2 linked regions of the Oryza sativa Japonica Group genome follow. Each later gene encodes a partner of the first gene's protein in a complex. Links are inferred from orthologs where the notes say so. Each region holds a gene or a part of one and is shown on either strand. Other genes may lie near its edges. The genes, in order: peroxisome biogenesis protein 22 and protein PEROXIN-4.

Evidence for each region.
Region 2: the proteins of peroxisome biogenesis protein 22 (region 1) and protein PEROXIN-4 are in contact, whole or in part, in a crystal structure (PDB 6XOD), measured with the Arabidopsis thaliana proteins. The link is inferred for Oryza sativa Japonica Group from reciprocal best matches to the Arabidopsis thaliana genes PEX22 and PEX4. Residues at the interface, in NP_566696.2 of Arabidopsis thaliana: Tyr182, Val187, Leu188, Asp189, Asp190, Glu193, Asp214, Lys215, Leu217, Phe218, Cys219, Ser220, Thr221, Gly224, Ser227, Phe228, Arg230, Gln231, Leu232, Glu233; in NP_001031939.1 of Arabidopsis thaliana: Phe78, Phe84, Lys85, Asn125, Asp127, Asn130, Leu131, Gly135, Asp136, Val137, Arg138, Gly139, Ser142, Met143, Met146, Tyr147, Arg149, Leu150.

What each region holds. Positions count from the first base shown.
Region 1 is NC_089038.1:32,505,513-32,509,895, forward strand, and holds the start of peroxisome biogenesis protein 22, read left to right. Parts: upstream 1-1,543; 5' UTR 1,544-1,744; coding exon 1,745-1,894; intron 1,895-2,923; coding exon 2,924-3,157; intron 3,158-3,245; coding exon 3,246-3,293; intron 3,294-3,396; coding exon 3,397-3,453; intron 3,454-3,535; coding exon 3,536-3,637; intron 3,638-3,968; coding exon 3,969-4,034; intron 4,035-4,152; coding exon 4,153-4,254; intron 4,255-4,326; coding exon 4,327-4,383. Other genes in the region: cyclin-P1-1, read left to right, coding at 38-425. UniProt on the Arabidopsis thaliana protein: May be tethered PEX4 to the peroxisome membrane and may be involved in a late step of the matrix protein import. Does not play a role in the biogenesis of the peroxisomal membrane.
Region 2 is NC_089036.1:25,937,333-25,941,892, reverse strand, and holds the start of protein PEROXIN-4, read left to right. Parts: upstream 1-1,475; 5' UTR 1,476-1,573; intron 1,574-2,229; 5' UTR 2,230-2,270; coding exon 2,271-2,276; intron 2,277-2,982; coding exon 2,983-3,102; intron 3,103-3,192; coding exon 3,193-3,321; intron 3,322-3,625; coding exon 3,626-3,755; intron 3,756-4,560. Other genes in the region: proteasome subunit alpha type-2, read right to left, coding at 1-35, 955-1,031, 1,131-1,171. UniProt on the Arabidopsis thaliana protein: Required for peroxisome biogenesis. Necessary for the developmental elimination of obsolete peroxisome matrix proteins. May be involved in the ubiquitination of PEX5, targeting it for recycling.

The sequences.
Region 1 (4,383 bases):
CTGTTGGGTTAATTACCATTCGCGCGCGTGTGTGCAGCCACCACAACAACGCGTTCTTCGCGCGCGTCGGCGGCGTGAGCAACGCGGAGATGAACAGGCTGGAGCTGGAGCTCCTCGCCGTGCTGGACTTCGAGGTCATGCTCAGCCACCGCGTCTACGAGCTCTACCGCGAGCACCTCGAGAAGGAGGCGCGGAGGGACGGCGGCGGCGGCGACATGCTCGCCGGCGCGTCGGCCGCCGCCGCCGCCAAGGCGGGGAGAATGGCGGCCGTCTCGCCGTCCAAGCTGCTGGAACGCGCGGCGGTGAACGGCGCCGCGCAGCACGACGACTGGAGGAGCCTGGGTACGGCGGCGGCGGCGGAGGCGGCGAACGGCGTGCGGCGGCACAGGTCGTCGTCGTCGTCGCGGTATTCCTTCGATTGCTAGTATAGCCAGCGTTGCCAAAGAGCGCGTTCTGTGTGTATATATCAGGTTATCAACGAGAGTTTTTGAGGCTGTAAAAAAATTAAAGACGGATTAATTACCTGCCAAAGTGCCAATTAGCAAATGTTTGCCATACACGAACATTACTCGTTGCCTGTTCAGCAATTCAGCAATGAAAATGAAAATCTGGAACAATCGTCGAGTCGTTGTAGAGTTGGTTGTTTGATGGAATTTCTTTTCATGCATTAAACAACCTAATACCGGATATAACATATTCTAATATTATGAATCATGTTGATTTTTTTAGAACACGGAGAAAATATACATGAACACACCACCATCTTGTGTAAAACGGAAAAAGAAACTGTTTTTTTCCGTTCTTTTTCCGTGTGTCAATGTGTCGTAAAAACACCATCTAATAACCTCGCAGAGAAAAAAACCACAGTACTTCAATAGTTTGTACAGAAAACATGATGGATCAGGCTAAGTTTGTTGAAATCAAGGTCTCAAAGGGAAAAAATAAAGAGGAAATCATGTAAAGCTCATACCGAGGAGTACAAAATTAGACCAACCATAGAAGAAAACCAACTCATCAAATGGCCAGTTTAGTTCCCCGCCAAAAAAAAATTTTACACATGTCACATCGAATGTTTGGACACATGCATAGAGTATTAAATATAAATAAAAAAACAACTAATTACACAGATTGCGTGTAAAATGCGAGACGAAACTTTTAAGACTAATTGCGCCATGATTTGACAATGTGATGCTACAATAAACATTTTCTAATGATGGATTAATTAGGCTTAATAAATTCGTCTTGCGGTTTATATACGGATTCTTTAATTTATTTTGTTATTAGATTACGTTTAATACTTTAAATGTGTATCCGTATATCCGATGTGACACGTTCAAATTTTACGCGTAACTAACACACCCAAAGTCATAGTTCGAGCAGTTGGTTGGTTCAACCATGAAGACTGTGACTGGGAGTAAAACAAAAAAAAAACTGAAAGACCTATTACCAAAAATAAAGACACTCTTCAAGGACCTAACTGCAAAATAACCGTCTCCTACCACGCCGCAAGCAAAAACAACGAGCTTCCCTCTCCTCCGCCCTCATTCCCTCCGACATGTCGCAGCCCGCCCCCTCGTAGAAGAGACGGCACAATTTACACTTCGCCCCCTCCAAATCTTCTCCTCCTCCTCCTCCTCCTCCTCGCCGTCGCCGCCGCGAGCGGGCGCGCTAGGGTTTCGGGCCGCCGCGGCGTCCTCCTCCTCCTCCTCCTCTTGTTCTGGTGGTCAGCGGGGGCGCGCGTCCGATGTCGTCGGGGGCAGCGGCGTCGGCGGCGGGGGTGGAGGCGGGGGCGGCGGGGGGCGGGAAGGACGACGAGCTGGCTGATCTGGTGCGGCGCCTAGTGGACGCCCTCGCCCGCTACTCCGATCGCCTCCCGTTCGACCTCGATCGCCAGGTTTGCCGCTCGGATCTGTGATCCCCCCCGTGTCGCGCGTGTGTTTTGCGGTGTTTTGATAATCTCTAGGTTTTCCTCGCTGTTTAGGGATTTGTGGTGGTCCGTGGTGTAAAGGTGGCGCGCCTTGCTTGATTGTTTGTGGGGAAGGCTAGTCTTTTTTGTTTGGAACTATATTTTATACTGTGGCCATTCTACTATTGTTTAGTTGTTATTACATACATATGAGTTCGAAGCATCGATTTGGTAATTCGTTCTTAGCAGCTGTACAAGCTAGAAGCTGTAGTAAATTTTTAGGCGTGGATTCGCAGTTCGCTAATGATATGTCTCCCTTTTGGGAAATGTGGTCGTATTTGGGTCATTGTGATAGTTGAGATTTTGATGTATCCTTTAGGTTAGTAATAGGCTAATAGTGCTGCGAGAAATAGTTACTATGTAGAAGTGTTGGTTGGCCAGAAAGATGCAAACTTTTATGATGGCTTGCTTTATGTGATATCATCGAATGATCTACTTACCTCTATAGTCAGTTAATGAATCACTAAATAATTCGTTAATGGCATGTTGTCGTTTTGTAAGTTCTCTTGACTGTAGTGTTTTACAACGCTATTTCCAAGAACTCGGTAGTAATACAACGTGCAGATCCTAGGCTAGTAATGGATGCAAGCACAGGCATACACATGCGAACATGACATGTGCATGCACGGCGAGGTAAACCGATTTCTATGCTCAGAAATCTGCGCTACAACGTCATTAAAACGACTTTAGGTATCAAATCACGTGAAAGCACTTAAAAGTGCCGTAGCGCTCGAAAATCGACCTTCTGGGCCCTATGTTGCAACTTGCAACAGCATGAGCATTCATATTATTCCACAAAAGATTGTACTTGGTGTCAATTTTTAATCCCTTGTATCAGTCGTTGTTGTGGTTTGGATGAGTGAATTGGTGCCATTTTTTGTGATTTCTCACACACAAAGTCCGTTTTATTAATTCTTGCTACAAGAATTATTGAATTACTTCAATCTTCTATTTTAGAAACTTCGCTCATTTACTACACTTGCCGCAATTACAATCACACTTATCTTTGCCTGGAAACTGTTGAGAGCTCCTCAAGAGCAACCTCGGAGGCCACGTAGACGCGTTGCTCCATCACCTAGCAACACCAGCAGTAGATCACGGCCAGGTGCTTTGACCTCAACGGATGCTTGTTCATCTTCAGCAGATTCAAGAGCACAGGAAGCAATCAACCAGCTTTTCCAGCCAGTAAACGTATTGCCTGTTTCCTTTTCTGAATACTGAAATGATGTATCTGCTTTTAGGATCCTTGGACTGATAGTTTGCTTATATTCTTCTCCAGCTGACTCTTGAGCAGCTTGTTAGGCATAAACTGAGCGAAGGACGAAGGGTATTTTGCAAGCAACTGCTTTCACACCTTTTTTTTTCACGAAATTTAAAGTTTTGTTATACCAATGCATGTTTCTTTCCCATGTGTGAATTATAATGTTTAGGTTACATGCCGGTTACTTGGTGTGATTTTGGAGGAAACAACTCCAGAGGAGCTCCAGGTGAGCAAAAGCGCTGCTGCAAAAAAAATTTCCTGTTTTTTGTTAACGAATTTAATTTAGCGGAATTATACTTTTTTTTCAGAACCATGTCACAGTGAGACCTTCTGTCCTGGAGGTTCTTCTAGAAATTGCAAAATTCTGTGATGTCTATCTGATGGAGCGCATTCTTGACGATGAAAGCGGAGTAAGTAATAAGGACCATGCATTTTTTCTGTTGCATTTATGTTTTACGCTTTACAAGTATGCTCAAGACTTGATATGTCAATATATACTGATATCGGCATATGCACGCGGAATAAACAGTAATCAATTTACCATTGATATCGGAATAATACGATGAATGAACAACTACCTGGTCTGCTATTTTATTTCATTATGTTCAGGGGTTCTTTTTTTTTTTAAAAAAAGAAAAGCAGAAGAGTATTTTTGGAATCATCACTATAGACACACTGCCTAGTACGGAATTTGAATGAGCTATTATAGCTTGACATCAGCACAACTGAATAATGTTGCAGGAAAAGGTGTTATCTGCCCTGAGTGAAGCTGGACTTTTTACGAACAGTGGATTGATAAAGGACAAGGTAAGCCGCATGATGAGGTCACTTCAGAAATATAACTGCTTAATCGTTTTTTTTTTCATTTGGGTATAGCCATTGGATGTTCGCAATGGACCTTATGTAACATTTCTTCAAATGGCAGGTTCTCTTCTGTAGTACAGAAAATGGCCGCACCTCTTTTGTGCGGCAACTGGAACCTGATTGGCACATTGATACTAGTCCAGAAATTGTTCATCAGCTAGCTGTAAGTCACAATTTTAACAATCAAGTATCATACTTATAGAAGCAGGTTTTGAGTTGCTATGCTCCCTTGCAGAGGTTTATCAAATATCAACTACATATTTCTCCACAACGAGCAGAAAGAGTAGCATCC
Region 2 (4,560 bases), on another chromosome or scaffold:
TTTCTTCTCAGTGGCGATAACTACACCATTAGCAGCTGCAAACATAACAAATATACCTCAGAATCAATAAACTAGGCTAAAAGGGAACTGAAGAGAATCAACAGACTGTAGTCTCTGAGCAGTAACTACACAAAAACATATGATAGAACAATCTGGTAAAAACATATGCAGTATGTTCTACACCACAAATTTATTACATACAACAATTACATCTATCAGCGTGAAGAACGCATGTCAAATAGTTTCTTTCAATTTTTCATACACCAAAACAAAATTCATGGGCTAAAACCCCAAGACTTTAAATTGCATAAATACTGACAAGTGGCAACAAAAGCTGATTTTAAGGGTATGTAAACCTACCAGTAAGGTGGACGTTGACAGGGCAAACAAATTAGAATTTTGCACTGATACTAAAATGGGCTTCCAAACCCTAATAGGCACTAGATCAGACTGCACACACATACAACTACTAATGGGAAAACTAGGTCAGCATATACATTCAACGCCGTAAATTGGCATAGAAAACTTCATCATCACAGATGAAACCAAGCAGCTTGTATTTCTTATGTGGTTATAAAGGGGAGCACTTGCCATTGCTGTTACAAGACATACATTTATGTAGATTAATAATGATTTTCCATGGAATCCACAAGCATTTGTAAGCGAAAACGAAGCAAACATTACAAAATTCCCAAGTATCACTAAAGCAGAATAGCAGATGCAAGTAACATGGCACCTATTAGTAACCTAAGCCGTAGCAAACTTCACACTCCAGGTCTCCAGAACAAATAAAAGCTCTGCAACGACCTAAAGTTATGCGAAAAGTGCAAAATCCCCAACAAGCGCCACTTCGTCATGTGAACCGAACCAGCCAAAATCTCAAACCTCCCCTCCCCTTCTCGATTCTCATAACGCAATAGAAGTATAGAGAAGGGATTGCTTCACGGGACGCACCTTTGATCCCGAGGGACGTCTGGCCGGATCCGACCGCGGTGAGCGCGTGCTCGATCTGCACCAGCTTCCCCGACGGGCTGCAAACGAAATCGCCACAAAAACCACAGATGACGAAACCGAAACCGCACCAGATCACGCCCGATCTCCGGGCGAGGGAGGCGCAAGGCAGCACATACCTGAAGGTGGTGAGGGAGAAGGAGTACTGGCTGTCTCCCATGGCCGCCGACGCGCAGGCCTACCTGTGAGCTGCTGCTCTTCGTGTCTCGCGGCGGAAGAGGAGGCGACCGAGCGAGCGATTGCGGCGAGACGGCGTGGGAAGGGAGAGGGAGGCAGAGCACAACTCGCCAAGGAAGAAGAGGAGAGAGAGAAAGAGACTGGATGGATGGATTGCTCCGCAAGAAGGTGGTGGGTCTTGGGCCGGAAATCTGGCCCATCTGTTATTGGGTCAGCCCATGACTCACCCACCTCCCCGTCACGTCGTCTTCCTCCTCATAACTTCTTCCCCACGGGCCAACGGCTGCGCGTCTTCCCGTTCGTCCTCCTGTCCGGTCCGAGTCCCTCTGACGACGCGACTTTCCCCACGCCGGGATCGAGCTCCGGGGAGGGGAGCTGCGAGCTGGTACGTACGCTTGATTTCTTCCCTTGCCACCGCGATATTCCGATGTATCCGTGATGTGTCGTTCATGGGTAGATCGGCTAGGGATTTGGCGGCGTTGAGGAAAGCGATGGCTGCCGGGTGGGGGGAATTGTTGTATTAGACTCTCGAAGCTGATATCTGGTGTGGATTTGCGGTGGAAGCCATGGTCGGAGGCCCAGTGCCTTCCGGGAGTTGTTGGGTTATCGGGAGCCCGGAGGGCAGTGCGGCTCGCCGACTGCTGCCATGATCCCCGTCGGCAAAATCTCCAGATTGGGGGAGATGGGGGGTAGGAACCATTTGGATTAGTAGTGTATACACGGGGTTTCGTTTATTATATTTAGAGCGCTCTACATGTAGACAGCACACAGCAGCTTTAACGTATGGATGGTGTATCGCAGGGAATGTATCTCGAAGACATTGGATTAGGCTATTATTACATTTAGAGAACCAGATTGGGTTTGCGATAACTAGAAATTGAGTCTGTTATGAATTTATTGATGGAGCGGACAGGGAATTACGATTACTATCTGTTTAGCTTTTCAGTTGTGAATGATGATTATTTCAATTTAGCTAATCAAGGTTCCTCAATCAAACCGTTCTAACTTTTTCTATTTATGCTCTTGGTTACATTTTGACAGAAACACTTTGTCATATCAGTCAACAGTAGAGAGGAGACCAGATGCAGGTCAGTTCTAATTCATCTTTGGTTGCACATTTCTTGTATAGTTAGTTAGGTATGTAATGTGATGGCCAACTCTTAATCAACTAATTATTCGGGTTATGTTTTACTGGTCTCACTGAGACGTCCATGCTAAGGTGGTAACATTTAATAGGACAATCCACATTTGGCAGCAATAACTGTACTCATCTTTTCCTTTAGTAAACGGTTTGGCGCCTAGTATAGGGCTCGCGTGTTTGCATGGAAGAGTTGGCACTCGGTAGTTGGAGAGCTTTGCCGACGGTTACCAATGTGACCAGTACTGGTTTTTGTACACCCATACTTTCTTGTCGTCATACACTAGCAAAAGTTTGTGTACATCCCTTACTTTTACTAATGGCTCAATTATATAACTTGATTTACTTCACTACAATAAAACTTATAAATGTTTGGAAGATCATGTCCAAGAGACTTTCAGTATTATTGTTAACTGGAATGAGCTTAACTACTACTCCCTCCGTTTCACAATATAAGTCATTCTAGCATTTCCCACATTTATATTGATGTTAATGAATCTAGGCATATCTATCTATCTAGATTCATTAACATTAATATGAATGTGGGAAATGCTAGAATGACTTACATTGTGAAACGGAGGAAGTATGTGAATTGCTCCTTTAGTTTGGTTCCTAACATGCTATCTGAATGTCTTCAAAATATTTTCTATCGAAAGGCATCTAGAGCTAGGCTCTTTAAGGAGTATAAGGAGGTGCAGCGAGAAAAGTCAGCTGATCCAGATATCCAGTTAATCTGCGATGATTCAAACATATTCAAGTGGACTGCTCTTATCAAGGTGGTTTTTATATTGCAACTTGCAAGGTGATGCTAGAAACAGCAATATAAGTTTTTAACTAATGCCTTTTCTGATTGTATATGTTGTTAGGGCCCTTCGGAGACACCTTTTGAAGGTGGTGTATTTCAACTTGCATTCTCTATTCCTGAGCAATACCCTCTCCTTCCTCCGCAAGTTCGCTTCTTGACCAAAATTTTCCACCCGAATGTGCATTTCAAGGTTACTTCTGCATTGCCTTCTCTGCGTACATTTTACTTTAGGAAATTTGACCTATTTGAAGGCATTTGTCTCTTTCAAGTGTTGGTGAGAATGTAAATATGAAGTTGCTGTCATCTTCTTCATTTTATCAGGTTTTCCTGTAACAATCTGAATGTACTAACATGACAGAATTTACTGTGTAGACTCAACTGTGCTCTTCCTGTTATTGTTTTTGTCAAGTCGCTTCTATATTGTTACATCTGAATTAACAGAATTGAAGGAGTAATTTCAGTTATCATTCTTTTTACCTTGTTTGTGTTTCCAGACAGGTGAGATTTGCCTGGATATCTTGAAGAATGCGTGGAGCCCAGCATGGACACTACAATCCGTTTGTAGAGCCATAATTGCATTGATGGCCCATCCTGAACCAGACAGTCCACTTAACTGTGACTCAGGTAGCTCCACCTTCCTACTAATTCTGCCACATATAGTTCAGCCATTATTTTGTAATGTGAAAGTAATAGATGTTCATGCTCTCACTGAATCAAGCTATGGTGCATGAAGATTTCCATCTTCGAGGCCTCAACCACTCCATGATGTGATCTTTTTGGAGTAGTTTGAGACATGAAAATATTTGGTTCTAATTATTGTCACATGGTACATTAGCCAGTTAAAAAATATGGAGAAAAACTTGGCTATTTACTCTAATGGAGCCCCTCTATATAACCAAAGGAATTACGTGATAATTGATATGGTCAGACTCCAGTATCACCGTTGTCCTAGGCGAGGGCCAATGAGTCCCAGGACGAGGCTGAGTCCACCTCGGGTGGCGGGTGTGCTTGGGATGCTGATTAGATTAGTTCGTTACATTGAAATAGTATATCTTTCCAATTGTTATCTCTTCCCAGTTAGAGTCCAACTTGTAAGGGCCATTAAAAGGTGTTTGCTACATCATCGCGAGTTTCAAGTTCCTTGTCCTCATTCTTTTTATGCCTCATAGTTCCATGCCGCCTACTCTCCTGGGAAGCCTCATCATCCACATGTCCTAATCTTCCGCACACAACAGAAGAAACTGATTTATGTAGTTACAATATTTAATTTTGAGGCGGTCAGAGAAACCATTCCTGCTGATCCATTTTACGCAATATGGATTGAATAATTGCCTTGTAAATATTTCATTGTTGGTTATTAGCATTTATACTAATGAGCTAAGATGTGCAGTGTCACTTATATTGTATAGTTCCTCATTATGAATTAGAA